Linked DNA regions of Struthio camelus. The protein of the gene in region 3 purifies or fractionates together with the protein of the main gene of each other region. This does not show direct contact. Links are inferred from orthologs where the notes say so. Each region holds a gene or a part of one and is shown on either strand. Other genes may lie near its edges. The genes, in order: FBXO33, CRY1, CUL1 and FBXO22.

Region 1 (7,164 bases), on a different chromosome or scaffold from region 3:
ACCTATATAATACATTTCTTCTTTAGACTACAAAGAAAAATAAATTTGTCTGCTCTCATTTTTGCTTACTTGGAAAGGGCTAGTGACAGGAGAAGGAAGCAAACTACAGTTCTCCTTGCATCACAATCACAAATCCTATTGAATCAATTCCAAAACATAATGGTAATACTGTATAAGCAAAGAAAAAAAAAAACCTAAACTTGAAAGCCTTCCCCTAGCACTCCCAACAAGCAGGTTGAGCAACACGCTCAGTACAGGGACCTCACCCTCTGCCAGCCGTCTAGCGACAACAGAGTAAGCACAGCGAGAACAGAATAAATCAGACTAGGAAACAGAAACCGCGGCTGGGGGATACTCCCGTTCGCTCGCCCGCCGCCCTCTCTCAGTCTGCACCCGGCATGGCGGCGCCCCGCGGGCCGAGGCTGCGGGGGCGGCAGGTCCGGCTCCCCGGCGCCTCAACGGGGAGGGCCCCGCGGGGTGGGAGGGGGGGGCGGCGGGCACCGGCCCCGCTGCCGCGGGTCGGACCAGGACTGCGGGGGGGGGGCGGCCCGGCAGCGGCCCTCCCCCCCCGGGGCAGGTGCGCCGCCCCTCCCCCCCCCCGCGGCCGGTGCGCCGCCGCGAGGGACGGGACGGGACGGCCCCTCCCCACCCGGGAGATCGCCCCTTCCCCACTCGGGAGGCCGGCCCTTCCCCCGCTCCGCAGCCTGCTCGGCCCCGGTGCCCCGCAGGGGGGCGGCGAGTCCCGGGGAGGCGGCCCCGGCCCCCCCCCGCGGTTCTTACCGGCATCTCAGAGCCTCCCGGATGTGACGCAGTGTCGAACCGGAAATGCCAGGGCTGGGGGTTTCGCCCCACCCTTCCAGCTCTATGGTAAGCGCGGCGAGGAGCGCCCCTTCCGCCCCGCTGCCCTCACTTCCGGCCGCCGCCGCCGGGCCCTCGGGAGGGGGGAGGTGTCGCCTGGGCTGCCGGGCCGCCCCGGGAGGGCCGGTGTCGGCTCGGTAAGTGGGCGCGTGTGTGGCGCCCTGAGCGCCGCGCTGCGGGAGCGCCTCCCGCGCCGCCTCCCTGGCCGCTGGAGGACAACGGAGCGGCAGTTGGGCGCTCTGCTTTTTCTCCCAAGTAGGGTCCTCGCTAGCGAGCTGCCGCTTCCGTTCGGACCCGCACCAGGGCTGCGGTGTTTACTCCGTGATTCATCTTAAAGTACCCTTTCGAGTTGACAGATTTTTTACAGATGCAGATTAGGTAGGAAGCTTGCAGTCAAGTTCAACTGTTAAGTGCTGCACTTACCTTTTCTCGATATAAATCATCACAAAAGACATTATTTCAGCTTGTTACAGCACATGCAAAAGCACTAGTTTCCCGTTAGTATTTAGTTTGCATTTATGTTGTGCTCCAAATTATAAGTGAACTTCTTGCAGTGGGTCATGGAGAACTCCTAAGTTCACAGCAGCTCCTTAAGTGAAGCATATCAGGTTGGTAAACTCAGAAACCTAACGTGTCTTAACAATGCACCTAACAAAGAAGAAGGGGCTGAGTGAATAATTGCCAAAGCCTGTACCTCATTTTTTCCCTCATTAGCCTTATCTTCATATATCTAGGCTAGCAGGATAGAGCTGCTGAACCAGCGCTGTTTACTGCCTTTCGTCTTGACATTAGCTGCTGAACTGGTGACCTTCATGTCCAGTAAACTTTAACTTGGCTATAGGTATTCTGTAGCTTTAGAAACACACGATTCCTGGCTCCTGTGCCAGAGTTGCGCTGAATGAGCACTGGCAGGCCTGTGTTGGCGTCTGCGCTGCTGAGTAATTAGAATCCCCAGCTGTGTGGAAACCAGCCAGTGGGAGCTGCTGAGGCGGGCAGAGCCTGGTTACTTGGGACTCAGTTGTGTGCACAGCTCAGTTCTGATCCACAGTGGTTGCTCCTCAGGTCTAACTGTTCAGCTCATGGAGGGCTAAGAACTTTGCCTCAATAAAAAGACCCTTGACCAGCTATCTGGTGGAATTGAGCAGTAACTTCCTAAAAGTCTGCAAGCAAGTTGGCTAATCTTTTTTTCTATATATTTACCATGAGTTTGCAGTCACTGCATTAGTACTCACATAAGCCTGCACCTTGAAATCAATTCTCAGTCAAGCTAAAGTACGTTTCTGATGTCAGTGGTGGAGAAAACTGATTCAGCATCCCCAATTGGCAGCCTTATAGCTTTGGTTGTCTTGGCATCATAGTGGCCATGCAAAGGGATGGGGTCAGAGACCTCACAAAGGCTGGTACTATAATATCGAACACTTAGTTATAGCTGAGATGACCTGAAGCTTGAAACAGACCCATTTATTCACTTCAAGTCTACAAAACTGAAGTTATGAGCTACTGAGCTTTAATTTTTAGCATAACCTCAGTAAGCTGAAGAAGCTGAGTACGTGACCATGCAAGCTGCCTGTCTTATGAGAGGCATGACCCCAGCATGCCACATTTGCTGATCCAGTATCATCTAACAAAGGTAACCAGAAACACAGAACTAGTAGCTTCATAAACCATTTTGTCCTGATATCACGTCAGTAATCTCAGGTAATGAATTGTAAAACTTGATTACAGATTACATTAAGATAAAGATATTTGGTAATCCTGGAAGTCCTTTGACTTATTATGAGCCCAGCAACGTAGGGTTGTTGGGCACATATTAAAATATGGAACTATGTAGGAGACTAAGTTCCTTGTATTTGCTTAATTCAGCCAGATGAGTTCAGATGCTTCAGAACTTTCCATCTCCTGCATCTTTACTGCCTGAGGACCTGAGGGCTTAATCTGACAGGGAAATGTGCAGTAATAGTTGCGCAGTACTTCCCTGAGTCATTTATACAGATTCTTATCATTCACACAAGCATGTGAAACAGCACTTGTCCCTGACCAGAGAGGAATTGTCCAGCTGGGAATTTCCCATAATGTTACTTTCTGCTGCTCTGGGATGCTTATCTCTAATAAAAGAGAAACAGGAGGTTCAAATTTATTTCCCCTGTGAACAGATTCAAGAAATAAAATGATACTATTCTCCCCCCCACACACACTGCGAGACAGGGAAAGTGATGGAAGATGGAGTGAATGGAGAGATATGTTGTATGTCTGGCTGTTCATAAGTCTGTTTATAATGTGATGCCATATTCTGAATGCCAACAGGCTTTATGTCTCTTAGCACATCTTTTGTTTTGTGTGTACATTTCTGAACAAATATACAGTATTATGTAAACTCTTGTATTATAATAACATACAGACAGTACTGGATTTTATTTATTTCAATAAAGTTTTAAAGTAAATTCATAAAGCTTATATGAACAATTGAGATTAAATTCACTTTGATGTTCAGCCTTTGCAGAATGAATACTTACCAGATTTTTGAAATCTTTCTGAGTCTGTTTGCACAAGACAAGTATCTTTCCGCTCCTGCACGTCATGTCGGAATGGGCATTACAAAGCCGGCAAGCTTTAAGAAACGGGTAAGATTTCAAAATAGGACACTGGACCACTTGCTAGCGTATCAGTGCAGGCTCATATCCAGCCTTCATCACAAGTCAACTCTTCGCTATGCTTAGCATTTCCTGCACAGTCAGCGTGTTTTCTGCAGTCAGGGTTGGCATCCTGTTGAGGTAATTTTGTTGGCTGAAATCGGAACGTGAGGTCAGGCAGCAGTACCAGCGCCTGCCATGAATCGAAATCCTTTTCCTTCCCCCCCGCCCTGCCACAGCCTGCAGGAGGAAGGAAGTTTCTCCCGCCGCCGGCAGCTCTGAGGCGCTCCTCCGCCAGGCGCCGCGCCGCTCGGAGACGGCCAGGTGCCGCTCGGCCTTGGCGGCGCGCTGCGCGGCGGCCCAGCCCGGCCAATTCGCGTTCGGCTCGGAGGGCGGCGGCGGCCCCTCATCGAGGCGTCGGCGCTGCACGGCCGCAGGGCGGGCCGGGGGGAGGCGGCGCCCCGCTAGCGGGCCTGGAGGGGTTAGCGCCGCGCCGCGCCGCGCCCCCCGCCGAGGCGGTTGGTCCGGCTCCGCCTCCCATTCGAACGGGTGGTATGTTCCATTCCCCTTCCACCCCCCGCCGGGGGTGGCTCCGCCTCCCTGCGCGGCGGCCTCGCCCCGCGAGAACCGAGATCGGTGCCGGCGGGCGCGCTCACCTCACCCTCTCCTGCCGGCTCGGTGGTAGGGTCCCGCCGCGGCGCGGTGGGTAGGGCCCGCTGCGCCTCTCGTCCCCCCCCGGAGGCGGCGCGGGTGGTGCGTCCCGGCAGTAGCCGCGTCCCGGCCGGCGCCCGCCCCCTCCGCCTTGTCATTGATGTTGTTGTTTTTGTCGCAGGAGCCGGAGGCGAGGCCGGGGCCGCCGCCGCCTGTGGCTGCCGCAGCAGCAGCAGCAGCAGGGCCCGGGCCGGCGCCAGGCATGTCGGTGTGCGGGGAGGCGGTGGGCGCCGGCTCCCTGCCCAGCGAGCTGGTGGTGCACATCTTCTCCTTCCTGGCGGGGCCCGACCGGCTGCGGGCCTCGGCCGCCTGCTCGCACTGGCGGGAGTGCCTCTTCTACCCGGCCCTCTGGCCGCGCCTCCGCCTCAGCCTCCGCGTCTCCCCGGCCGAGCGCCCGCGCCTCGAGTTCCTCATGCGCAAGTGCGGCTGGTTCGTGCGCGAGCTCCGCGTCCAGTTCGCCGCCGACAACTACCCCAGCGGCGGCGGCGGCGGCGGCGGGGGGGCGGGCGAAGGTGCCGCGGCGGCGGCCGACGGGGAGGCGCCGCCGCCGCCGCTGTGCCCGCGCTGGCTGGACCTGCTGAGGACCTACCTGGAGCTGGTGCTGTGCGTGCTGAGCAGCGTCCGCAACAACAGGTAGGGCCGGGCGGGGGGCGGGGCGGCCCCTCGCCGCTGAGGGGGATTTCCCGCCGCGGGGCCGGCGGCGGCCGTTGCCCGGCCGGCGGGGAGGCGGCGGCGGCCGCGCGGGGCAGCGGCCGGCGCCGCGGCCACCCGCCGGCGGCGGGGGGAGTCCAGCGCTCGTCTCTGCCCCGACGGGGGCTTGCTGGGGCTTCAGAAAACAAGCGGAGCCTGCAGAAGTGACTCGCTGAGCTGCTGCGGTCCGAGCCGAAGCGTGGCCGTGCTGTGGGAAGTAACCTCCTCCTTACCCTTTTCCGTAGCGTTAAGGCGAATATAAGTACCGAAGTTTATTTGGGAGGCAGCTAGGCTGCACAAGCCATAAACGAAACTATGAAAGCTTCGTTGTCTCCTTTAAGGAAAGAGAAATGCAGCTCAGATGCAGCGCTTCACACTGGGAATTTGGATTTGGCGTGAAACAGGAGATCTCTTTGGCCCAGTTCTGTGTGACTGAGAAAAATGAAACTTGGGAAAAATTAGTGGGAGGGTTAAGGTTGTAGTATTGGTGATGTGTTTCTGGAGGGAGAGGAAGGAAGTACGGCTCTTATTAAAATACTTAACGTTTCCAGCCATGAGGGATCTTGCTGTTTGAAGACTGAGTTTCCATGCCAGCTCTTGTGTTACCTGGTAAATTGAGATTTGCTTCGGCTTTAAACAAGATAAAGTTTTTATTTATTGCAAAACCTTCATTTAGGATTGTCTTAAGCACATTAAACTTAAATAAGTTTTTTCCTGTGCTTTGGACTTAAGATGTGTTTCTGCCCTGCCCTTTCACAGATTTATTTTGACTAAGATACTTAATTTCCTCAGGTTGGAGTTCTTTAGAATTAAAGCACTTACATGCTCTTTATCTTATGTGCGTGTGAAGACCTTTTTTTTTTTTTTTAAATCTGTTCAGAGATCGTCGTAGTACATGGCCTTTAGGCAGCACCTGAGACAGGAAAGCAAGAATTTATTACAGTTAGGTAATGATGCGTTTGGAAAGCCATGCAGATTTCGGGATAGGAAATGGCTAATGTTATTTCCCCTCTGCATGCATACAGTTCCACCTATCTAGAAAATAGGCTGCAAATATTTTGGGGTGTCTTTAGACCAAGTTAGAACTTCTGGATGGCTGTTGGGAAAGCTCTGCAGTTGCATCATGGTATGGCCACCCGCTCATCTTTGATTCCAGAGGGATTAGAGAGTAGTTTGAGGCTTTTCTCTTGCTACAATTCAAAATAAAGAAGCAAGACCTTTAAATGTAATTCCTCGTTTGTTCTAGATGGATGTAAATGTGATGTGTGAGGTCTCACTTTCAGTTCCTTTGCTGTGCTGTGCCTAGCAGGCCAATCCTGTGGTGTAACTGTGATGATTGAGAGCTGCAAACCGTATTTCTGGAAACTAGTCATTGGTCCAGGCTCACTTTTGTGTATAATTTATTTTTTGCCGTGTGAATCCTCTGTGCGTGAATGGTGATTGTCTGTCTTCGTTAGCCTTTCCATAATGCTGCTCTGCCTTTAAGAAGCTTTTGTTTAACTGTTGCTTTTGTGGGGAATCCCACTCGTGTCATAAGTGAAAAATGGTGAAGTGGTGTTGGTAACTTATCAGATCCAAGGCAAATACAGTGACGCGAACGTGGAATTTTTAAGTGAACAATCTCCAGAAACTATTACCTGGGTTTTTCATTGGACAAACTAGACGTTTCTTACTCCCTCTGTATCACTACAGTATGAGACTGTCAAAATTAAATGCATTGCAAACAATCTTTTAAATATATTTTTTATTTTGAAAAAGATTCATTGTTCATGACCTTTTCAGAAACTTGTATGAAGATGCTTGTTTTCTAAAGGTATTTTTGCAGATTCTGTACGCACTTCACTGCTGAAGACTATTGTACAATACTTAGTAGAAATAATTGATTCTCCAGTAGCTATTCTCCAGTAGATTAATACAATTCTAGTGGTAAGATACAGGTAAAAAGTTATCAGCTTTGACAGGATTTTGCATTACTGTATTTTCTTTCTGTCTTCAAATCATTTGCATTCTGCTCTTTTGTTTTGAAATGAATAATTTATGACTGGGGAACACAGAATACCCGGTTATTACAGTAGGCATTTTTTGATGAGCAATTGAAGAGTGGGGGGGGGGGGGCAGAATTTACTTTAAACGCTTGACATTCTATTCAAAATTACTTTCTGCATAGACTCCTTTTTTCCTCTTGAATAGACAAGCTTTAGTCTATTTTTGATGCTCCCCCCCACCTTTTTTTTTCTTGCAAGGTAACTACCAGTAGCTGATTATTCTGCATACT
Region 2 (7,923 bases), on a different chromosome or scaffold from region 3:
TCCCGCGTGGGTCCTCCCCACCCCCCGCCGCCGCCGCCGCCCTGACCTGGCTCGCCGCCGCCGTGCGCTGCGCGGCCGGGCCCAACGGCCGGTGCCGCCCGGGGGGGAGAGGGGGGAAGGCGGGGCGTGCGGCGCGGCGCGGCCGCCATGGCGGGGCGGTGCCGGGGGGGACGGAGCGGGGCAGGCGGCGGCGGGCGCTGCTCGAGGGACGGGTTTGGGGCTGTGCGCCCCGCGAGGACCAAGTGCCGCCGTCCCGTCCGGTAGCCGCGGTGCCTCCTTAGCCCTGCAGTGCCCCCTCGCCTTCCCCTCCCCCCCTCCTTCCCCGCCAGGATGAGACCGTGAGGGGCGGCCGTTGGCCACGGTGAGGGCTGGGGTGCCGCCGCGCCTGGTGCCGGCCCGAGGGCCCTGTCGCCTGCCCGGCCGCCAGGTTTCACAGCCCTGGCGGAAACAGGTTTTGCCCCCGAGACGGCTGGGGAGTTCGGCTGAAGTCAGCCTGCGTGTTGAAAAGCTGCTGGGTGAAGGAGTAGAGCCCCAAGGGACGGCGCGATGGCGGCACTCGTTCCCCCTCCTCACGAGACGGGCGGCGGGAGCCATGAGAGCTGCCGCGGGAGCGCCCGGTGGGTGAAGGCCAAACTCAAGAGAGCATCTCTAAAGCCCTACGTCCTGTCTGAATCTGGCGTATGTCGTTTCAGCCTTGTCTGCTTTCCAGTGAAACGTCAAAGTAACGGCCTCGCCAGCACCGTAGGCTGAGCAAATGGAGGTGCTCTCGTGCCCGGGAAGCTGCGCGTGGCCCATGAGGTCCATGAGGCAGCAGCACGGGAGCGCTTGTGAGCACACAGGAGCAAGTCCATGTGTCGGCGTGGGCTGCAGGGCTCCCTTTCACACCTGGCACCCGGAGCATAAATGTGCTGGGGTTTCTAAAAGGCCAACAGTCACCGTCAGTCCCTCCCTGGTGTGGCAGGAGCTGTAATCAGGATGGAAACAGGCTGGGGAAGTTGGGTTGGTGCCACGCGGTTCTCAGGGTGCCTGGCTCCCGTCAGTTCTGCTTCGTCATGTTTTCATTTACTGGTGCAAGGAGAAAGGGGAAAAAAATGCTTGACTCAACAGATCTCACAGGACTGAAGTACGGTTATTAAGTGGCTGTACTTTTAATTCTGAGTTTGCAGTAAACAAGGACTTTGCCATCCTCCAGATGCGACTTCAGTATGCTGTAGTTCATGCACTGATTCACGGTGTTTTTAATCGGAGTGAGGTAAATTGGATTGCAGTCTTTTTATCATGGAAAAACACCTGAGTTTCTTCCACCTGGTAAAATATTGACTTTGTTATGATTAGAAATGTTTGAAAGTGACCTACTAAGAGGTATTTCGATTTAAACAGCTCTCAAGCGAGTACTATTTAGTGTACTAAATAAAGCAAAATCCCTCATTTTTAAGTAGTAGTATGGTATCAAAGAAACAAACATTTGAAAATTAAGTTACTTGAGTGCCTGTGTTCCGATGGGAAGCAGATGATCCTGTTGATTCTGTAAAGGAGATGGCCTGTTTCTCGCGTTTATCCAAGTGGAACAGTGCTAGTGAGACTTACACCCTGTACAGTGCAATAGCTACCAAATAACACTATTCAGGAGATCAAAAGCAGTAGTGCTCCTGATACCAAATATGTTCTCTGCAAAGACTATTCTACTGTTTTGGAAAGCAGCACACTGAAAAAATCTTTTCAGGATCAAATTTTGCTGAGAGGCAACAACGATGTAATCATAGGAAGCTTCTCTTATATCAGTATATTTTCTTCCATATGATCACTGTACTTATCCCTAATAAAAAAATAAAAGTCATGTATATAGTCAATGGATTAACAGTTTTGCCAATGTTGTTGCAGAAGCTAAATGAGCTGTGACGGTGAGAATCTGCTTCCCGTATCTTACTCTGTTCAGCTGGTCACTTCTTTAGTTCACTTCTAAACTTAGAGTAAAAAATAGGCAAAGATGCAAATAATTTCTAGACTAGACAATTTTTCTAGGCAGTTAGCATTTTTAAAACCATCTAACTCAGGTCTGCATAATGCTGTACTTCAAAGAGTGAAAATTAGGACTGTTCGCTTTGAAAACGCTTCTTTTGTCAGCTACATTTTCAATAGTCTGTATTAGAGCAAAGTGTGAAAGAATTGCTATAGTATGCTCTACGGACCTTGCTCACGCTTGGTTTCCTACATGACTGCTGTTTCAATAACACTTAATTGTGAGTATGAGTGACATAACTGCATGCAATGGAGTTAAGACACATGGATATAAAAAACTCATCTGATTTTTTAATACACAATATATTCTGTTTACTCCTTGATGTTTTATTTTGTCCTTTCATGCCTTCATGTTGTCTTTTTTTTCCCCTTCTGATTCCTTCTCCTCTCCACTCTCTGGATTTCTGTTATCACAGCGTGAGCCAAGTTAGCTGAATTAGCAATACTGTTCTTTCAAAAGTTATCCACAAGAGAACACAGTAGTGGGCTTAACTTGTACAAGTTCCTTGATTAACTATCATTCTATTTTCTTTCTTCACCAACTTGAAGAGAGTGCCTCTTCCCTTGAGATCTGACATTTTAATTAATATATTCTTCATCTTCCTTCCACTTTTTAAATCAAAAACAATCAGTCGAGAATGGAAGGTATGGATAGAGCTGAACGGTGTTTTGACATGCTGCTATGCTAATTACAGTTGTTATTTAATCTGTAGTGATAAACAGCTTACAGAGTGATGGTTTTCATGGTTGTAATTTGGTTATGAAACCATAAATTCCTGCAAGGGAGGGTTGCTTCCACCTCAGTTTAATAGTTTTACACGTTAACATTTTGAAGAAGGCAGATCAGTTGACACTGAACTTTCTTTAGGGCCATGGTTTGTTGCTCAGTGTCACAGCCTTGTAAGGAGCTAGCAGGGAACATAAGATACAAGGCTTCTGACTGATGATCTTAGAGAGGCTTGAAAAAGCAGCTTAGAAGTTTTAAATAAAAACTATATCGTAAGGTGACTTTCCTTGAAAATAAGCTTTCTTCTTCAGTGTGCTCAAATATTATACAATTAAAAGGAATTTAATGGGAAGTGGGTATTAACTACTGAGATGTTTTTTTCATTCTTTTCTACTTTATTTATTTGAAAATCAGTCACCAAAGATTTGACATTTCTTAACAACTGAACAAGCAAGGAACCCATAGGTTCCTCTTGGACCAGAATGATGAGCCGTGCAATCTAATGTTACATATATGACAAAATAATAGTGGAAAACCTCATAATAATTTATACTACTGTTAAGTTACTGTTAAATGCTTAAGGAAAGGTGGTCCACCATACTTTTTAGAGAGAAGGTTTCTACAATATCAAATAGCAAAGGGCTCTTATCATGGTTAGGGCCTTTTCTGTTAGCAGCTTTGCTAACAGTATGGACATTTTATGAAGTCATTCAAGGTGAGGAAAGAAGAGCATCAAGGGAAGCACGATGCGTTATGTGTTACTTTTTATTGACTGTGGGTTTGACTTTTTCATACCTAAGCAGAAAAAATATTTCAGTAGAAACTCCAATTCTGAGATTTAAAATACTTTCCTACTCTGGAATTCCGGAAGTCAAGGGAGGTAAGTACTGCAAGTGCATGTCCATTTTACTGTAGAGTCATTATTTGTAGTGAGATCTGTCTTGCTGTTGCTGTTTATGGAAAGCACTAGAAGCCGTAGGCTAAGTTATAATTCATACACGAAGGTTTGCTTTCGGACGTGCATACAGAGCTGCTCTGTAGGGCCTTGAAATTGCTATACTGAGTCCCATCAGTAGGACACCTCATGCCAGGCGGCTGAGACCTGAGTAAAAGTAAGAAAAGCTGCACCACGCAGGCATCTTTTAGCTCTGTACTTAAAAGGGAACGACATGTTAGATATACACCATTTGCTAATAATGACGCTGCTGACAGTGCTAGAGACCATTTTAACTCCTTTTACTTCTCACTACTCTCCTGAAGACGTATTTCCTTTCCACAGCTCTGGCACAGGCGAGCTGCACAGCCGCGTTTGCTCTGCCTTTGTTCCGTGTCCCCCCCCTCCCCCGCCCCCCGTTTTTGCACACCACCTCCGTACCGCTGCGGCCAAGGGGTAAAATTACTTCGTCCGCTTCGTAAGCGACGAAACGTATCTTAAAATGAGGGGGAACTCCCTCCTCCGCCTCCCCCCTCCTCCTCCTCCTCCTCAGGCAGGGACGCCTGGCCGAAGCACCGGGGGGGGGGAGGGGGGAAGGGCGACGTGCGAGGGCGGCCGGGCCGGGCCGAGGTGCGGCCCCGGAGCTCCTCGGCGGCGCTGGGCTCCCTACGTGGATACTTACATAACCGTCCCGGCCCGTCCCGGCACACAGGAGACGGCAGCAGCAACTCCGCCTCCCCCCGGTCACCCCCGCCGCGGCCGTTACGAGTTTGGGGCGGGACCGCGCATGCGCTCTGCGCGCCGAGCGTTATACATAACTGGTCACGGGCACCGCCCCCCCTCCGCGCGTGCGCACACATGTCCCCCCCAACCCCTGGCGCCGCCAGGATAGCGGCGCCTCCAAGGGCCTCCTCCGAGCCCCGTGCTCATCCGGGGCCCGGCGCCCCGCGCGGGGTGGGGGGAGGGGGCGCGGCCTCTACCCGCGGCGCCCCTCCCCGCCGCGGCCCGGTCCCTCGCACCGCCCCAGGCGGGTGGGATTCCCGCCGGGGCCGCTGGCTCCCCCGGTTGCCCGCCGCCGCCGCTGGCGGGAGCGGGGCCGAGCGCGCCGCGGCGGAGCCTCTGCCCGCCGCCTCTTCCCTCCGCGGCTAGTAAACACACTTCAGAAACGTGAGGGCTGGCGGTCACGTGGGGGCGGGGCAGGCCAATCAGGGGCGGGGGGCGGGGCGCGGCGGCTGGTGGAGCCCCGCGCAGAGTCACAGGGCGAGCGGCGAGGCAGCAGCAGCGCCAACGGCCGCTGCTTCCCGGGAGCGGAGCCACTGCCGGACCTCTCCGCCCCGCTGCTTCTCTTCCCCTCCCCGCGGCGCGGGGAGATGCGTCTCCGCCGGGCGGTCGGCGCCGTCTCCGCCGGGTCCTAGAGCCGCCTGAGGTGAGGCCGCGTCCCGGCTCCGCCAGCGCTCCGCTCCCCGCGGCGGCGGCCCCGGGGACCCCGCGCCGCTCCCGCTCCTCTCCCGGCGGGGCGGCGGCCGCTGCTCGCCCCGGCGCTGAGCCATGAGCGGCCCCGCGGGCGACGGCTCCCGCTGAGCGCCCGCCGGGCCCGCGGCGGCGGCATGGGGGTGAACGCCGTGCACTGGTTCCGCAAGGGGCTGCGGCTCCACGACAACCCGGCGCTGCGCGAGTGCATCCAGGGCGCCGACACGGTCCGCTGCGTCTACATCCTCGACCCCTGGTTCGCCGGCTCCTCCAACGTGGGCATCAACAGGTGGCGGTGAGTGCGGGGGACGGGGGGGGGGCGGCGGGCCCAGGCCCCCGGTTATGTATGCGGTCACGCTGCCCGCTGCCATCCCCGCCCTCCCGCGCCGCCCGGCTGCCTCCCAATTGGGCCGCTGCCCCGCCGCGGCTCCGCGCGCGTCCCCGCGGGCGGCGGCCGTTACATATCCAGCCCGCGTGCCAGCCCGGCCGGCGGCTGCCGCGGGGGGAGGGGAGGGGGGGGACTCGCCACCAGCGCGTCAGCCCCGCGCGGGCGGGCGGCGGGGGGGGGGGAAGGGGGAAGGGAGGGGGCGGCGGCGGCGGCGGCGACTCCGCGCTTCCCGCCGCAGCCGCGCGGCGGCCTCCAGCCGGCCCGGCAGCCGCCTCCCGAGCAGCCCGGGCTGGCAGCCAGAGCCCCCACTTGCAGTGCTGCGCTCCTGCACGTACCCCTGTGGGAGAGAGAGAGGGGAAGCTTTTGGATGAGTTCAGAAGTAAACTCTCAGGTTATCTTCCCCGTAGGGATAGGGTGTTCGGTGCTCCTTTCGGGAGCATGCAGTTCTTGCACCTTTGGGCCAGGTGTGCTCCTCCTTTAAATATAAAGCTGAACTTTTTGCTGTGGAGCGGTGGCTGGCATCCAGTATGGAAACGTATGCCATCTTAAGACAGAAGTTAATGGGACTTCTGTGCATGCATATCTTGTGAGATTGCATTAAACAGCAGTAATAACTTTATTTTCTTTTTAAAAAATAACTGATAATGTGGTAGAGTTCTTCTGTCATCCATCTAAGAATGGCAGGAATTTCAGATACTCGTGAACTTAGTCTGCACAGACCACAATGCTGAGAGGAGTTGACTAATTATGGAATGAGCACAGTATAACTGGACTGCACCCAATGTCATGATGGGATGGCTGTCAAAGTAGAGCTACTTGTTTTTTTAGTTCAGTTTTCTTAAGGATTATTTCTTTCAGCTGTAATACCTTCTCTCCCAGATCATTAAATACTTTACCAGGAAGTTGGTTTCTCTCTCTCTCTCTCTCTCGACATCTTGAAGTTTTCATTATGGCCATATCTCTGGTTTAAGGAAGATACAAATATTAAGAATAGGCTTTCTGTGATCTTTAACTTGATGGTTATTCCATTTTCATTGACAAGAACGAGGTGCATACCACTTAATAATTGTAAGGTAATTCCCTTATCTGAGGATCATAATGTATACTTCTTTTACAGAGACTTTTAAAGATTCTTGCTTGTTTTGAAGGAGATAATTTTTCTTGTGTAACAAATCTGAACGTTATAAACAAAGTTCAGAGGTTGTATGTAGTCTTTACAGATAAAGTGTGAAAAGCTACTTAAGTTTTAAAAGAATGCAGCCAAATTGCGTGTCCAGAATACTTCACAGGTTTCTAATGTATTTCATAACTGAAAAAACAGAGAGAGCTGAACCATTCTTGGTCATATTTTGTGAGCTAGTGAGTGATAGACAAATGTGAACTTTATGATCCTAGCAAAAGGGAATCCATCTCTCTAATGCTACTGCCTTAGTTTTCCAATGGCTGTTTAGTATGATCTTCACTTAATACAGTCCTAGAATACATTTATGCATAATAAATCAGCAGATGCTCAACAAATGCATTTACTTTAACGGTTCTCAGTGGTACAAAAGACAGTCGATCCTTGCACTGAATTTTACATTTGAAGTAAAACATCTCTTAGTTGTTGGTCAGAGAGGGTGGGTTTCTTTTCAAGGAGAGGTATTTACTTATCTTTCAGTCCATTTTTGAGGAGGGGATTCTTCTCCCTACAAAAATGAAGAAATCATAGAAGGAGGGTCAGTTGTAACACCCCTACCCTCAAAGCACTTCAAACAATATCCTGGATTTTGAATACCCCAAGGCACATGCTGTGCATGGATTTGAATAGATCTCACTCCTTCCATAGTCCGGTTTTGTGAGATTTCCAGTTTTCTCAAGTTTTTTTTTAAAAAAAAAAGTGAGTTTTATAAAATAACTAGCTGCTGGAACTTCATACTTACTAGAGTGATCTCAGTAAATTCTTATTTCAATGAACAGTTCATAGTTTGGAATTAAACCAGTTTAGGTGCCAGTAGTTACAATGTGAGTGTTTTACAGCTGGCTAAGAATAGCTCATTTGTAGTATGCATACTGAAGACCTGTGAAGTGATACTTTTTTATTTGATTTGCCAGTCTCATTCAGTGCTTGGTATTGATAATCAAGCATTTTAGCTCCTTGGTCACTGGATGACTTCCTTGCTTATATGCATGTGGAATAGAGTGTTGAATTGGTCAAAAAACATTTTATTTGAGATTAGGAGCAGAAGCCCCTCAGCATCTGGAACTTGAATCTAAATTTAGTCTTCTGCTGTGGGTTTACAGTGATCCTCCCATATGTATGGGTTGATTTACCTTAAGAGAGTTTATGTTCTGATGAGTTTAGGAACCTAACACCTCGGGTGCTCTCTCTCCTCTTGCAAAGCT
Region 3 (7,825 bases):
ACAGAGGTGCGACCCCTGCCCAGTTTTCCCTCTCAAGACAGACCAGGTTAGACAGCACGTTACATACAGAAGCATCATCACCAGAGCAAAACAGCAGCACTGATCTAACCACTAATTACACTTCCATCTGATTCTGCCTTCAGCAAGTTAGAAAATCCCGGCTAAGAAGTGCAGTACACATAACTTAGGTACCTACCTGTTACATACAGGCAACCTTTTACTAGGACAATCTGCTCACGTCACATTCACAGCGCAAATTTTTTGACGTTGACAGTGGTATAACTACAAGTACTTCTTTAAACCTGTTTCATCCACTGGGAAAAATAAATACATAAAAACAGTTTCAATGCCAGAAGAGAAGACTCCAGGTACACTCAATTCACCTCACCGCTAACACCCAGGATGTGACTCATCATTAAGCTGGGTCTCACTGAAGTGAGAAGTTAGTTTTGTGCAACTATGTAAAAGGAGACACCACCTGAGAAACATAACTGATGAAAAGCAGTATTCAGAGATCTTGACATCTAAATTACAAAAAGAAAAAAAAAAACCTTTTCTTAATATCTGATATAATATCTGATATAACAACTTTCTCCGAGGATCCAATGTTATATCCATAACAATATGGCTAGGATGTAAGACTTTAAGCTAATAATGAGAATAAGCTGAAATCACAAAAGCCATCCTCACATCAGTTTCCAAATAAGGGTATGAATCATTTGAGCTTAAATTTAAATGATATAAATTAGTGATTCAATTTTCTCATGCTGACAGACTAAGTAACAGGCTCAAGCTATAAGGCAAGTGTAAACCAGTGTAGAAAGGATAAAAGTAGAAGTAGAATCATTTAGTTTAATCAGCACAACTGCTTTGTCAACATTGTATTGGCACATGTGTCTTATTTAGGTGCCTAAACCAAGAAACTGTTCCTCCATACGACCCCTTGATAGGCGATGGAAAAAGATTCCTCTAGGGGAGTAATTCAGACTAGAAGTCTAATTCAGTTACTCTAAGCTGTCTTCCAGTTACTTTCTCAATGAGGAAGAAACAGATCCTACTGTGAATAAGCTGTTAATGTTAGATACTCATTCTGGATTCTAAGTTAGGTGTATAAATTACTTCCAAAATTTGAAACTAGTCCTGACACCTCCATGGCACAACTACGTCCAAGGTTTAAATGGGACCTCAAATACGTCGTGGTGATGCGATTATAAAATGCAACCAATGTTAAGAACTAAAGCAATTCAGAAAGATGTAAAATAAGAAGTTGGGTAACCTACTACTGAGAAACAAAAGAAATCACAAAGCAGAAAGAAAAGACTACTTTCCAGTAGAGTCACTAGCAGAGACACAAGTGCCAGTGCAACACAGACTCCCAGCCACCAATACTCAACACTGCAGCAGTTCGCTGTGATCATTTCCTGAGGAAAAAATATGCATCTAGTGAGTAGCAGGGAGGCCCAGTGAGGCCTCTTAGGACTTCCCCAAAGAGAAACCATCCCAAACATACCGTACCTCAACTGAAGTACCAATTCACAATACAGCATTAAGAAACAATGCTTGGCACTAATTTAAGTTATACAGCCGCTGGAAGTTTCTTGCCCCCACAGACCACTCCCCCAGGTCCTACCAAAAGGTCTTCCAAGAGAGCTGTTTTTCTAAACTAACACTAGGGGGTGTGTGTGTCGGTGGAGAAAGGGGGGAAGAGAATGTGAATATACACAAACACATGTATTGGGGCAAAGACTGCTGAGGAAATCAGTAAGAAACAAATAAAATAAGGTAAAACAGGTTTAAAAATGTTTGTTTCGTGTTCTCCTAGTACTGGCTGACAAATACAATCTAGGCTGAAGTTCCTCCTCTCCTCAAAAGCACAGCTGGAGGATTTAAATACAAAGTGGGGGGAGACAGCATGGGAGTCGATGGAGAAAAGGAACATGTCAAAAGGAAAGGGTATTAGGTGAGATCACGAGGAAGGATTTAACAACAGGAAAATAAGATCAGAAGGGCAAAGAATCGCGGTGAAGGAAACAGCTACCGGGGAGGAAGAAAGCTGGAAGGGGGAAAAGGTAATCAGGGAATAACGATGATGAAAGAACACAACTCGAAGGGGAAACAAGAAGGATGGGAAGAGATGCCAGGAGAGACGCAGCCAGCTTCCAGTGCCGGACCAAGTTCCTGGGAGGCTGACCAGCTGCCTGTTAGCCACGACCAAAACCTGCAGGACCGCTCACCTGGACGGGGGCGACAGAGAAAAGGCTACTGGGGGGGGGGGGGTGGCAACAGCAAGGGGGCAACCAGGGCAAGCCCGGAGCACGACCCCAGCCGGGGGGGGGACGCGCGGGACGCGGCGCCGAGGAGCCACGGCGGCACCAGGGACACGCGGGGGTTTGTCCGGCCGCAGCGGCGCCTCGCCGGGGCTGCGGGGACACGCTGGGCCGGCAGCGGGGGGGGACATGGGGGGAAGCTCCCTGCAGCCGGGCCGAGGGCAAGGAGGCGGCAGAGGGCCGGAGCCGGGCAGCGAGGGGCCGAGGCGGGCTCCCGGCTCCGAGGGCGGCGAGGTATTTCCAGTGCGTAGCTAGAGGCCTCCGCGCCGCCGCCGGGCCCGCGCCGCCAGGGCCGCCATGGCGGCGCCCGCCGCCTCCCTGGCGCGGTGAAGAAAGGCAGGCGGGCGGGCAGGAGGGCGGGCAGGCCGGGCCGGGCCCGGCGCCCCTCGCCCCGCTGCCTCCCGCCGCGGCGTGACTCAGTGCTGGGCTCCGCTCCGCCGCCTCGGCCTGGGCCGCGGCCCTCCTGGCAGCTGCCGGGCCGGGCCGGGCCGGGCCCCACCACCACCACCGCCGCCGGGCTGGCTGCGACACAACGCCGCGGCCTCCCCGCACTCACCAGCATCGCGCGTCCCGCAGAGTCAGGCCGCGTCCGCCCGCCCCTTCCGCCGGGCCCGGATCTCCCTCTGCCGCCGCCGCCGCCGCCGCCGCCTCCCCCCAGCGCGGCCCCGAGCGCGCCCAGGCGCCGCCCCTCGCCGCGCCGCGCCGCCCCTCGCCCCGACCCCGGGCTCGGGCAGGCGGCCGCTGCCTCAGGGGAGAGGGCGGTTTGGGGAGAGGGCGGCCGGGGGGGGCGCAGCCGGCTGGGGTGCTGGCCCCGGGAGACCCCCTGGGCAGGCTTAAATTAAAGCAGCTCCGGTGGCGAGCTCCAGTGTGTGAAGGGAAAAGGTGAAACGCGGCAGCGCGTGTAGCATCGCCTTTGTGTAGGCGGCACGCGGGGGCGGCTGGTTTCTGCGTGTAACAGTGCGGAGCGGGTGGTGCGGCATCGTACCACAGTTAACACGGGCTTCGGGGAAAAGTAACGTTTTGGAGTCAGTCCTGTCGTCGTCTTTGTTCCGGGCAGCTGCGGAATTACGTTCGTGGAGCTGTGCTGCAAAAGAAAAGGATGGGGTTTAAGTTATCCTCACGTGGATGTTTGTGTTTTGCTTTGCCGAGGTTTTCTGTGCTGCACCATCACAAACCGTGCTGAGTGAGCTCCCCTGCAGAGAGGGGGTCGGGTTCTGGGTCTGAGTTGGGCCAAACGAAACTTGGAGCAATTCAGATGAGGTTTTTGTTGTTGTTTTTTTTTTTAACTCCTTTACGTTAGAATAAAGAACGTTGGAATTCATTCCAGAAAATGCGATAGTGCGATAGCTTCTAAGGAAAGAAAATGGGGAAACAATAGGGAGAAACAGAGAGACATTATCTTTGCTTTGCAAAGTGCTTCGCTTGCATCCTGGCTCCAGCAGCTGTGCGCCATTTTCAAAAACTGGCCTTTCTCAAAGTGGGTGGCCCTTAGTCACCTAAGTGCTTGTAAAATTATTTCCTTGTGTAATAACGCCTTACCTCAGCGCAACCCACTGAAGTGGGCGCTAGCAAACTCGTGGACACGGCTCTTCTGATGAAACAGTTCTGGCCTAACGCTCACCGCAGCGCTGTTTTAGGGGCTGGTTTAATAGCAGAGCACGGACGCCGTCAGCGGGATGGCATCGCAGCGCTCACGTTAGTTTGGCCCCTTGTAGACGTGCTTTGCAAATACCGCTCCTAGGCATGACTGACGTTTCTGGCTTGTTAGCACACGGGAGTTACGTTAGAGGGTAGCAGCGGACGTTGCGCTGCACACCTCATCAGCGCGGCCAGTTCTGCGCGGTGCGTTAAGAGCCGGGAAAGGACAGACTGGAGGAGAAGGAGGGGGGAACCAAAGGAGGGGGACTGATCATTAAAAATAAAGACTGTTTTTTCAACCTTGGAAGCTAATTTTTTAAATTGTACTTTACAAAATTTGTATTTATACAGAGGTAAAGCCATCATTGTTTTAAAATCCTAAAACAAGGGAAAGATAGGGCCGTCAATAAGCGAGGAACGACAAAAAAGCCTGACAGAAAGTGAGGAAGATGTGGGGAGGAGGAAGGTCTGAATTAGCACCATCATCATTGCCATCCTGCACTAGACAGGGCTTTTTGCCTCTGTGTTTAACTTTCTAGAAGGCGAGGATTTTCTTCTAGAGCTGCACTGTGATCTGTGAACTGCAGACACTTCAGGGAGGCAAGGCGCAGTTCTCTAAATTTTGTTAATGATGGTGGCAGCTTGGTTGGCATTGTGAAAAGGCAGGCCATGCAAAAATCTTCACTAGAAGGATTAGACGTCATGCCTAGCATGATTCATTCCTGCGTTCATTGAAAGAATTCCAGTTTCAGGGTAAGCGGCCACAGACGGAAAAGGGAATTGAATGCCAAAATAAATATCACCGAATTTTTCATAGCAAGATGGCTAGTGAATTTCCAATTGTCCAGCGCAATTCATATACTTTGTATGAAAGGAGAGAAGCTTCCCCTAGAGACTGAGGCAGCCACAATTTCAAGGACAAGTTTCATGAGAGAAATCCAATTTTTACAGGAATGAGCTTACACTGCTGCTGAGAAAGGCCTGTTTTGACGGTAACTTCCAGGTTTCACACCTGTTGCATCAGCAATGAATCAGCACACATCAAGCAAGAAAATTATCATTGTAATATTTGCTGTCAATGCAAGTGGGAAGCTCCATTTGCCATTGGCTGGTTTGGGCAAAGAGGAAAAGCCTGAGTCATTCAAGGACACAGAGGTGCAGTGCCTGCTGCTTTATTACTGCTGTGGGGAGGTTGTACGGGTGAGCAGGGACCCTTTCCCTGTTCGGTTCATGCACAGCCTGTGCTTGCTGTCCTTCTTACATCTACAATGCTTGTCTGAAAACAGCAATTTTAGCACCCCCTCAACACTGCCAGGAGGACCAACTAATGATAGATGATAACCTGTTTTCTTGCCACATTCTTATCAAATATGATTTCTCTTGTGCTGCCAGTGTACCAATGACTCAGGCTACCAAAACCAAAAAAAAAAAAAAAAAAGGAAAAATTCAAGGAGGCATTATTGCAAAAGTGTTTAGCCCAACAACATGACAAATCTGCTGTGCGAAATTTACTGACTCTGTAAGATATACAAAAGACAAAAGTAGTGAATGTGGTCAAATACACCACACTGCAATGTCTTACATAAACTACAGCCAGATCCTGAATAAAACAAATGTTTCTCTGATTATGAGACTGATGCACAGGAAAAAAACAAAACAAAACACAACAAAACAAAAACCTCCAGCTTGTAAATAATCTTAATAGTTTGGAAGAGCTAAGTGAAGAAAATTTCCAAGAATCGTTCCTATATGACAGCAGCTAGCCTGAGTGCCAAGCTCTACATGACACTGAAGTCATTACTACTGTTCAAAGAGAGTATACGATGAGAGGGCAGCTAATCGCAGAGACATCACTGCTAAGCTTGCGCCTCCCATAGAAGTGACTATAAAGCCTAAGCTATAGAGATTCCAGAGTGTATTTATAATTTTCAGTCAGTGAAAAGGTAGCGTATTTCAAACTCCTTTGGCTATGCCCATTGTGCTCACACAATTTCTGAAGGTCACAAGATTTCTTCTGAAGGTCTCCCTGAAAAACCATTCTGGATAACAGAAATCTTGCACTACTGCTCCTGTTAAAGTACACAGGTTACACTTAACGCTAATCAATATGCTTTCCGCTAACCGGTACATTTATCTGATGAATTACAGAAGGTTTTTAAAAGCTACTTTACGAAAAATGACCTAGTAAATATTTTCAATCATCAGTGGGTTTAAAGAGTATACATATGAAGTAGAACTTTAATCTGTTCATTTGTCTTTTCTTGCAGGTATGACAATATTAGTTACTATTATTCTCCTCTGGATTACTTAGTGCAATGCTTTGTATTTATGAGGAGGCAGTTGGTGAGTGAAACCGATGAAGGGAGCCTGCTCTTTACTTTCTGCCAAGAAAATTCTTCAGATGCTGTGAGCTCTAAGAAAAGCAATGTTAATATGATTTGCTGGGGGAAATAATATAATAGAGCTGCAAAAATAAATTATTAATGGGTAATATAGCCTTCATAACACATCTAAATACAAAAAGTCACTGGATAGGTACAACTTTAACTAATAATCTTGCATTTTGCATGATCTGGGAAAGTGAAGTGAGGGGAAGGCAGGTGAAAGGAAATTGAATTTGTTCAATGGGATCTGTCAGATTTTAAAAGAGGTCATCGGGTCCTATGCACGCTAGGTGGAATGGGAAAGGAGGAGAGTTAGCAAGCTACAAGTCTGAAAAAGTCCCTTGGGAGTGGACTTAGTGCTCAATGGCACAGGCTTTGCTCTGCACGGGAGTTTCTCATCTGTGAGCAGAGCTTTCCTGCCAGGCTTGGCAGCGCTAGTGGGAAGAGGCTGTGACTCTCCTCCCTAGCCTGGTAAATCTCCCAGTAAACATGCAAAAAAGTTTGCAGGACTAGGACAGTGGCTTTTTTTTTTTTCCTCTCGCAGTCCTTCATCCCTGAGAATAGATGGACCCAAGGGTCCTCAGAAACTTAATAGAGCCAACAGAGCCAAGCACTGCTGGACTTCTATTAGACTTTCTCTCAAATCTTTTTTTTTCTTTTTTTTTTTTTTTTGGATCTGAAAGCCAAAATTTCGTATTTCAGGTAATATGTTTATAATGTTTACAGCTGACAAAGCCAAAATTTCAGTGCAAAATTTTACAGCCTGTAGCTATGGCTGACAGAGAAGCCCTGGCCTGTGTTTTTTTGGTCTCAGGAAGTAAGTTGTATATGAATATAGTGGGATTAGAATGAAGTGCCCACATATATGCTCAGCACCTCTCACTCGCATAAAAATACGTTTCAAAGCATAACCGAAAATGTCTGAGTGAAAACAGTGAGTTCAGCAAGAGGTGATCAGTTAAACATTTAGGGAGGTCATTTGATATTTGTTAGGTCCATGCCTGAGTAAAGACTTTTCCTGCGAGAAGTCACAGCAACATATATTTGAAATCCATCTGGCAACCTGGCAAAGATGCATGGAGCTTTCTGGATTTCTTTCTGGATTTCTTTCTGCTGTGCTCATCTCACAGCAGATGAGAACCCCTTAATACACTATGTTGGGTTTTTTTCATAGCCAGATTACTGTGTATTCAATCATACATCCTCAAGTCTCAAAAGCAGGTGCTATTTCTAGATATCTGGGATCTGTTCAGAGGCCAACTTTTTTCAGTCTTTCTATATATCAAGAGCTTGTATCAGAAGAGATTTTTGAATGTATTTATATGTATCTCCTATATTCTTGAAAGCTGGATCAGAAACACTGATTTTTCTGAGAACACTCTACCTCCAGAAAAGAGCTTAACATGTTTTCCTGCTGTTTTTGTCCGCAGAGGGATTTGTCTAGGGTTTCTTTTGTATCTGGTGTTTTCAGACTTA
Region 4 (7,611 bases), on a different chromosome or scaffold from region 3:
AAGAAGTTCTCCTTTTGCTGGACTAAACACCTGCAAAGTGTTATGAAAGGGTGAAATATAACACCATGCAAATACTTCTGAGCCAGCCATTCAGCATTAGTCTAAAACGTCATTGATTTCCAAATGTGCGTGCTGGTAATGTACTTTAAAGGACAAGTCATATTGGAGTATTAGATGCTATTTTCAGAAGAGGCTTAAACATTTCTTTAAGACAAAAGAAATCGTGCCTCAGATGCCACTTTTTAGGTAGTGATTCAAGGATGGGGAAGGTGGTAGATGAGTGTCCTGTGAAGTGTGATTCTGACTCTATTATTGAAGTTATCGCTGTGTATTAGATTTAAAGGGCTTTTATCACGATTCCATCTAGCCTGGTAGCTGGTCGGCTGACCAAGGCAGATCTATGGTCAGAGATGCCTGAAGCCCCGATTTCAGCTGATAGCACACACTTCTGACCTATCTCAGGTTGTAAACCCTTTGAAATAAGGGCCTTTCTGACAGCAGGGGGTGTGTAACTTATTAGCATTATGAAGGAGGAGAGATGAGAAGATAAAGCTATTTGCCTTGTACTTGAAAGCCAGGCATGTTGTAATACAGTGCATGTTTTTTATGAAGCCCACTGTAGAGTTTCATCTTAACACTGTTTTAAGTTTCACACGTTTTGATGCTGCTCCTTTATGTTGGTGTGTGTTTTTTTTTCCCCCCTTTCAGAATCAATATAATCTAGCAAGAGCACAGCAGTCCTATAAGTCACTAGTACAAATACACGAGAAAAATGGTATGTACGTTCTTGCAACTTTTGTTCTTGGTCAGTACAGCAGCCTGGGATTTGGTGTTTGACAGCAGTAAAACTTAAAAGTGCTGGAGTGTCTTATGTTGGCTTGGAGAACCACAAATAGTGTTTCTTTTCATGTCATACTAGGAAGACAAAATTGCTTAAAGTAACTTGTTACATTCTTCCAAGTTGGAAAAGTTGCAGGCGTGTTGTTAGTCAATGTTCCCTGTCTTCCTACTATCTTTTGAAAGGTAGCTTAATTTCATTTTTGCCCAATTGTTCTAGTAACTTTACTGTGTCTCAAAGTGTCTTATTTGCTAGTGAAGTACCTACTGGAAGCTTGTCTGCCCCTTTCCTTGAAAGGTGTTATCCGAATAATGCAAGACCACAGTAGCAGTAATCCAGGAAGAGTTAAAGCGTAAAGAAAGGCCAGAGACTAAAAAATATGAAAAGTCCAAGTGAAGTACGCTATCTGGAAAACTGCAATGGAAATGGGAGCCATATGGGGTGTTTTTCCCTCCTATATAAAGCCAGTTAATGGTCTCTCAACTGGCATAAGACAAGTATTTCTTAAAGTGCTTCGGGTATAATTGCCTTTTATGGCAGGATGGGAAGGCAACAGATGATCTGAGGCTCTGGAAAGTTTAAGTGGCTTAGTATTGTCAGATAAAAGTGGTCAGCGGAGCTGGTGTCCTGGTCTTATGAGCAGGGAATTAGTCCCAGTTCCTGCTTCAGTGATGCTCTTTGATCCAGGTTGGACGCAGCATCCTCTGGGAACTCAGGTGGTTGTGAACGAGCTTATTTCAGTGTGACCGTAGTGAATGCCTCAGTTTCCCCACTTCTAAAATGAGCATAGCGACTATACTATTTGCTGTGAATATACTACTGGGAAATGAGTGCAATATTGGGAAGAAGAGCAAAGATAATGACTTGAAGATGTTTTCCAATTTTATGATACATTGATCTTGCCATTAACTGAGTCTTTTGCCTTTTTAGTTTGCTACCAAAGCCAGCATGGCTCTCTGTTTACCTCTAGCTATATGCTAGCCTTGACTACAGTGATTACTGCCGCATCAGAAGCGCTACACAAAGCATTCACAGCATTTATTGCTGCTGCGAAAGGTGTCTTTGTCAACTTACAGCTGCTGCTTATTCTTTGGGATAACATAAATAGGTCCTGTACAAAATTGAGAGGAATTGAGAGGACTGGGAGACCTAAGACTGGGGATCTGGAGTTGGCTAGATAAAGCTGCGTGTACTTGCTCAGATAGGGTTTGGCACGGTTAGCGGTTGAATCGTATCTGGAGGCAAGCTATTCCGGTGACGCTTGCGAGCCCATTCCTACACCAAGATTTGCAAAAGTAGGGTAAACCTTTCAAATGCTTGCGTGTGCCCAGCTCTTCAACGGTGAAGACAGGATTTATCTATACTTATCCCAGTGCAGTCATGTTTGTACGTCTGTATGCATTAAGTGACTGGAATAACCTGGGGTTTTTACCTGTATCCCACTTGTTTTTATTATGGCAGTCTTCCTCCTTTAACAGCTTCCTCTGTTGGTGTCCCTCTTGTCCAGCTCAGCAAGGTAGCTGCTGCCATGTAAAACAAAAAACCACCTGAGTAGTTTATTTCCATACACAGATACTGGGTCTGAGCCTGGCATATGCCAAGTGCTTTATCTCCCTCCCACTGGAGACCACTAGCATTTAGGGCATTGATTCCCACTGAAGTGGTTTACTTGTAAGAGGGAAGGAGCCAATTTAGGTCTCCGTTTCCCACAAATTCAACAAAAGATCATCTTAACGTAGCAATGTCAGTGCCTAACGCGTTTCTCTCTTCTCCATAGGCTGGTACACTCCTCCGAAGGAAGATGGTTAATACTGAGGACTGTTGCATACCTGGACCAACATCAACAAAACGAGCTCTTTTTTATGTTTTCCAACACACACAGACTCAAGCTATGAGTGCCCCTATAACAGCCGTACTGAAGACTTTAGCTATTAGATAAGTTAGTGGATAATCTGTCAACTGACACTTAAAGTATAAGTTACAGCCTTACCATTCCGCTCTTCTTAGATATCTTGGACTGAGCAGTTTTGGCCTTTACTGTATTTGTTCTTATGGATTAAGCATATTTGGGCCAACCCTTCTCTTCCCTCTTTTTTATTTAAAGGCGTAAACTCCCTGAAGCAGGCTATCAAGTTACTAAAGGTCATTAAATAGGAGTTGTTCACACACTTTTGTGTATTTCTTACCTTTTGCAGGATGCAGACCGCAGAGACTTGCATTATATTGTTTCATTTAAAGCCAAGAAGTTTAATACATTGTTTAATACTGTTTTAGGAAATGTCAGGTCTTGCAAATCACGGTAGTTTTTCTGGTCTCAAATGACAGCATTTGTAGTATTTCCAAATTAATGATATAGGAAAAACACATGTATGTTAAGTCATTAAACATTTTTCATGGCTGTATGAGAATATGAACTGTTTCTTGGAAAAGATGCTCCTTGTTTAGATTATGTTGTTTTTGGGTTTTGTTCCATTTTGTGTTTTAAGCAGAGCAAGGCTGTGCCAATAAAACCTTGTAACTAGTCACTTCCACTGGGGCGTCAGAACTTGCTGGGCTGTTCCTGCTACTTGGTGGCTCGACCTACTTAACGAGAGCCGCAGTATGAAGCTTGAAGTTACTTAAAATACTAAAAGCCTTTTTAGGCGTTCCATTTTATTAACGGGTTGTTGCAATCATTTGTAAACTAATGAACCTATAAAGTGATTGGCACAAATCGAGACGAAAGTCCTTGAATGAAAAGTTTTATATAAAAGCTACACTAAAGTACAAAAATGCCTCATCTGATTCAGAGATTTAAGAAACGTTGCCATAGTTGTGAGAGTGGTTTTGTTATTGAGAGACTAATGGGATCTGTTCATTCTTTATTAGGAGATGAATCTGGGTCTGTGTAATTACACTATTTCATTGCCTTACCTAAATCAATTCTGTTTTGGTTGTAGTACTAGTTATTAGGCCTCGCACCCCTCCGGGGATGAATTAAGGGTGCGTACCATGGATTAAGCACTTTTTGGAAGTCCAGAAGCATGTTTTTGTTATGTATTTGGTTTTTTTTTTTAGTTGACTATCAAATTTGTGCTCATTTATCAGGCACCCACGGGTCCTTGCTCATTTGCTTCTAGAACCAGTTTTTAGCTTGAAAGGAAAATCTGAGAGATTTGGCACTGCTTCTGCTACCTGTTGTTTGAGATATCGCTCTCGGAAGGAGGGTGGATGACTTCCCGGCCTTTCTGCTTACTTGGTTGTACATATTATATTTGTATGAAATCCCGGTAGCCAGGCGCCGAGATAGCGGCCGACTCGGTGAGCGGTGCAGTCCCTCGGAGCCTGGGGCTGGGCAGCCCTCTGAACGCGTCCGCGGGCCCCGGGGGCGCGGGCCGGCAGCTGCGCTCGCCATGCTCCCCTCCTCGTTGGGGGGGTCTTTTCCCCTCCCTTTTTTTCTTTCTTCTCCCCCCCCCCATTGCAGAATTACTTGGCAATGTACAGTAATTTGTAAACTTGCATCAAGTTTATGAATAAAAACCGTTTTAAGAATGGCGTCGCTTCTGTGGTTATTGTCGGGGGGGGGGAGGGGGGTGGAAATGGAGGGAAACCAGCGCGCCCCTCACCGCGCCTCGGGGCGCTCCAGGCCCCGCCCCGTCCCCGCTGACGTCACCCTCGCACGCGCCTGCCCCCCCCCCCCCGCCGGAAGGGGAAGCTGCGTCAGGTGGCGCGCGCCCGCCGGGAGCCGCTGTCGCCGCGCGCGTGACGCGGCCCCTGGCGGGGGGGGGAGGGAGGAAGGGGGGGCGGAGGCCGCTGCCGTGTCGCCGCCGGCCGCGGCCATGGAGACGGACGCGCGGGGCGCGGCGGTGCTGGGCGGCCTGGCCGAGGTGGTGGAGCGCGTCCTCGGCTTCCTGCCCACCAAGGCGCTGCTGCGCGCCGCCTGGTAGGGGCGCCGGGGACGGGGACGAGGCTGGGGCGGGCGGGCGGCGCGCGGCGGCCGTTGGCGGCTGAGGCGGCGCGCGGCGGCCGTTGGCGGCGGTTGGGGCGGCCGTTGGCGGGGGGTGGGGGGTGCGGCGCGGCGCGGCGCTGACGGTGCGGGCCGTGTTTGCAGCGTGTGCCGGCTGTGGAGGGAGTGCGCCCGGCGGACGCTGCGGGCGCGGCAGCGCGTCGCCTGGGTGTCGGCGCTGGAGCCGGGCCCCGCCGAGAGCCACGCGCTGGTGCGCGCCCTGGCCCGCGAGCTGGAGGTGGGTGCGCGGCGGCGGATCCCCCCCTTCCCCCCGCCCCTGGGCGGCCGGATTTTGCCGCGGTGGGAACTGCCCCGTAGCGGGGAGTGCGGCGGGTTGGTTGTGCGTCACGCAAAAAGCTGCCTCGCTTTAAGCGTCCTACTTGGGAGTCTGACTTGCCGTTTTGCTGTCATTCAGAAACGAGGAGCAGCGGGCGTGCTGAAAGCACTCGCTACGAAAGCAGCTGGGTGCATATCAGCACCTTTGTCGTTCCTGATGCCTTCACTTGGTGTCTATAATTGGGGTATTGACCCCTTTCTCCTGCTAGTTCACTGCTGACAGAGGTGTCATCAGCTGACAGCTTGTTTGGCAAGGGATTCTCAGAGGCTTAATATCTAGCAATTGCGTAGAGGGGTTACCTAAACAAAAATGGAGAAATAGCCAAAATGAATTTAGTCAGTTTTTTCTCTCCTGTCTTTTCTCTCCTGTCTTTTTCGAAATCTCCTTTTCCTGTTTTTTTCAACTTAGCTTATGTCTTTGCACAAGGGAATGTTGTGAGAAGCAGCTAAATAGCATAATTTTGCCCCTTGCATCTTTTTACAGAAAGTGCATGTGCTGCCACAAACTGTGCTCTATATAGCAGATGCGGAAACATTCAGCGGACATGAGGAGTGTCACGAACAAAAGAAAGGTAACTGTTAAACTGACTTATTCCTGCTTCAAGAAGTACTTGTAATAGAAGTACAATATGTGAAGGGAAAGTCAGCTTAAATTGAATTCTCTGTGTTTAAATTGCAAAGGAAAGTAAGTCTTTTGCAAAAAAAAATAAATGCAATCCCATAGATCAGCATTTCTGTTATGAAGCACAGGCCACACAAATGTGCACTGTTTTACATAGATTTGCATTACACAGAGGAAGGTACAGTGATTTACTTTCTCATCCTGTTCAGGATGTTGATTTTGCTCTGTATACCCATAGCGGTGCATTCCTACAGATAGTACAGGTTTGCCATGTTAACTGGGCAGCTGTTGATTGGCAGCATTGTTTAAATAGGATGCAATTAACTGCAAGGCTTGTCCATTAGTGCTCAGAAAAACTCACCTTTACTTCTCTGTGCCTTCTTTTTTTCTTCTTTTTTAACAGCAAGAAAAAGAAACAGTAAAGAAACCGCAATTGAGCTAGAAAAATTGTTGCCAAAGCGATGCCAAGTTCTTGGACTGGTCACCCCAGGGATTGTAGGTAGGACGAAAATGTGTGATGTGATGAGAGATCAGCCTAAAGGTGTTTAGTATATCACAGGTCTTTTCAGACTCTTCTTTATCACAACTCCATGTGTTTTTGAAAGCATAGTCCTGCAGACTGAATAGAGTATTCTCACAGATTATTGCCATGTACTGCTCTCACCTTGTTCAGTCCTAGCTTCAATTTTAAGGAGCTCACACTGTTGCTGCTAAAGCATGCGTATGCCTTAAATTTTTACTTCATGTGGTACAGTTGTCATTGAAAAGGTCGATTTAATTTGCGGGGAGGGGGTAGATATAGCAGGGATTTCAGAGATACTGTAAAGCCATTGGGAATTGAATGTGAAAGCCAATGAACGGGTTTATTCAGAAGACGCTTGGTGAGCCTGACAGTTATAGCAGACTTTGCCAAAGTCAAATGCAACTTCATCATTCCCAGGCAAACAAAATGATGGCATTTCTGTTTGCATTGTGATTGTGCTGGCCAGAGACACAGTTACTATGCCTGCTTCTAAATTTTTATTAGTTGGTACCTTAAGGTAATTACATTATATTTCTTGGATGTGTATATATTTTTTAAAGTTACAATGTGAAGAGTCGTACAAGAAGGTCACAGAAGGTGACGTTCTCAGTGTGTATCCACTTAGTTTGGAATAGCAAGAAGCATAAATAGTGACTATGGAAAATTCACAGCTTCCCTTGGAGGTGTTTTTCCAGTACTTCGTTTGTGTATCACTAGAAACTTTTTTCCTAATTTCTTACCTTAATTTCTCTTCCTACAGTGTAAGAAATTTTCCTGTTCACTGTGAGCATGGAAGACAGTTTACACCCTGCATCTGGGCACCAACTTGTTATGTATCAAAACTTGTTGTAGTTTTCTGCTTAGTATATTTGCTTTTAGGCTATCTGTCTCTATGACTGGAGTCTTTAAGAGTCTTGACATACTTGTATCAGGATGAAACACGAGTAACTTGGGCCTCTGATGTGAAGGCGCGTGGGGGTGTAGACAATTTCTTGAGGCCACTTCCAGCTGTAGCTGCTGTTCCAGCTGATTCTACTCCCACTAGAGGCTGTTCGTGTACTTCTATATCCAAATGGTTGACGATTTCTGATTTTTTTAGGGTTAGCTTATTTGCAAGTAGATTATCTCTGTGTTCTTCTATCAACACTATCCTTTAGCTTTCTTAGTTCTTTTCTTCCTTGTTTTTCCTTCTGATGTACTTACAAAGTGTAACCATCACAGCCTCTAGTCTGCTCAGACAAACCACCTGCTTCTAGTTTCTTCAAAAGAAAGGTTTTACGTTCTTTTAGTCCTGGCGGCTTGTCTCT

What was found.
Region 1: the proteins of CUL1 (region 3) and FBXO33 purify together in Homo sapiens (affinity purification with mass spectrometry; 4 studies listed by BioGRID and IntAct, with this or other methods). This does not show direct contact. The link is inferred for Struthio camelus from reciprocal best matches to the Homo sapiens genes CUL1 and FBXO33.
Region 2: the proteins of CUL1 (region 3) and CRY1 purify together in Homo sapiens (affinity purification with mass spectrometry; 4 studies listed by BioGRID and IntAct, counting the BioPlex papers as one, with this or other methods). This does not show direct contact. The link is inferred for Struthio camelus from reciprocal best matches to the Homo sapiens genes CUL1 and CRY1.
Region 4: the proteins of CUL1 (region 3) and FBXO22 purify together in Homo sapiens (affinity purification with mass spectrometry; 11 studies listed by BioGRID and IntAct, with this or other methods). This does not show direct contact. The link is inferred for Struthio camelus from reciprocal best matches to the Homo sapiens genes CUL1 and FBXO22.

Annotation. Positions count from the first base shown.
Region 1 is NC_090946.1:57,213,409-57,220,572, reverse strand, and holds the start of FBXO33 (F-box only protein 33), read left to right. Parts: upstream 1-4,150; 5' UTR 4,151-4,169; intron 4,170-4,320; 5' UTR 4,321-4,401; coding exon 4,402-4,832; intron 4,833-7,164. UniProt on the Homo sapiens protein: Substrate recognition component of a SCF (SKP1-CUL1-F-box protein) E3 ubiquitin-protein ligase complex which mediates the ubiquitination and subsequent proteasomal degradation of target proteins. Probably recognizes and binds to phosphorylated target proteins.
Region 2 is NC_090942.1:61,486,246-61,494,168, reverse strand, and holds the start of CRY1 (cryptochrome-1), read left to right. Parts: upstream 1-4,918; 5' UTR 4,919-5,106; intron 5,107-5,233; 5' UTR 5,234-5,287; coding exon 5,288-5,445; intron 5,446-7,923.
Region 3 is NC_090943.1:62,576,555-62,584,379, reverse strand, and holds the start of CUL1 (cullin-1), read right to left. Parts: upstream 3,008-7,825; 5' UTR 2,884-3,007; intron 315-2,883; exon of another isoform or gene 197-314; intron 1-196. UniProt on the Homo sapiens protein: Core component of multiple cullin-RING-based SCF (SKP1-CUL1-F-box protein) E3 ubiquitin-protein ligase complexes, which mediate the ubiquitination of proteins involved in cell cycle progression, signal transduction and transcription.
Region 4 is NC_090953.1:21,910,109-21,917,719, forward strand, and holds the start of FBXO22 (F-box only protein 22), read left to right. Parts: upstream 1-4,602; 5' UTR 4,603-4,656; coding exon 4,657-4,760; intron 4,761-4,928; coding exon 4,929-5,061; intron 5,062-5,643; coding exon 5,644-5,731; intron 5,732-6,184; coding exon 6,185-6,280; intron 6,281-7,611. Other genes in the region: UBE2Q2 (ubiquitin-conjugating enzyme E2 Q2), read left to right, coding at 709-775, 2,616-2,647. UniProt on the Homo sapiens protein: Substrate-recognition component of the SCF (SKP1-CUL1-F-box protein)-type E3 ubiquitin ligase complex that is implicated in the control of various cellular processes such as cell cycle control, transcriptional regulation, DNA damage repair, and apoptosis.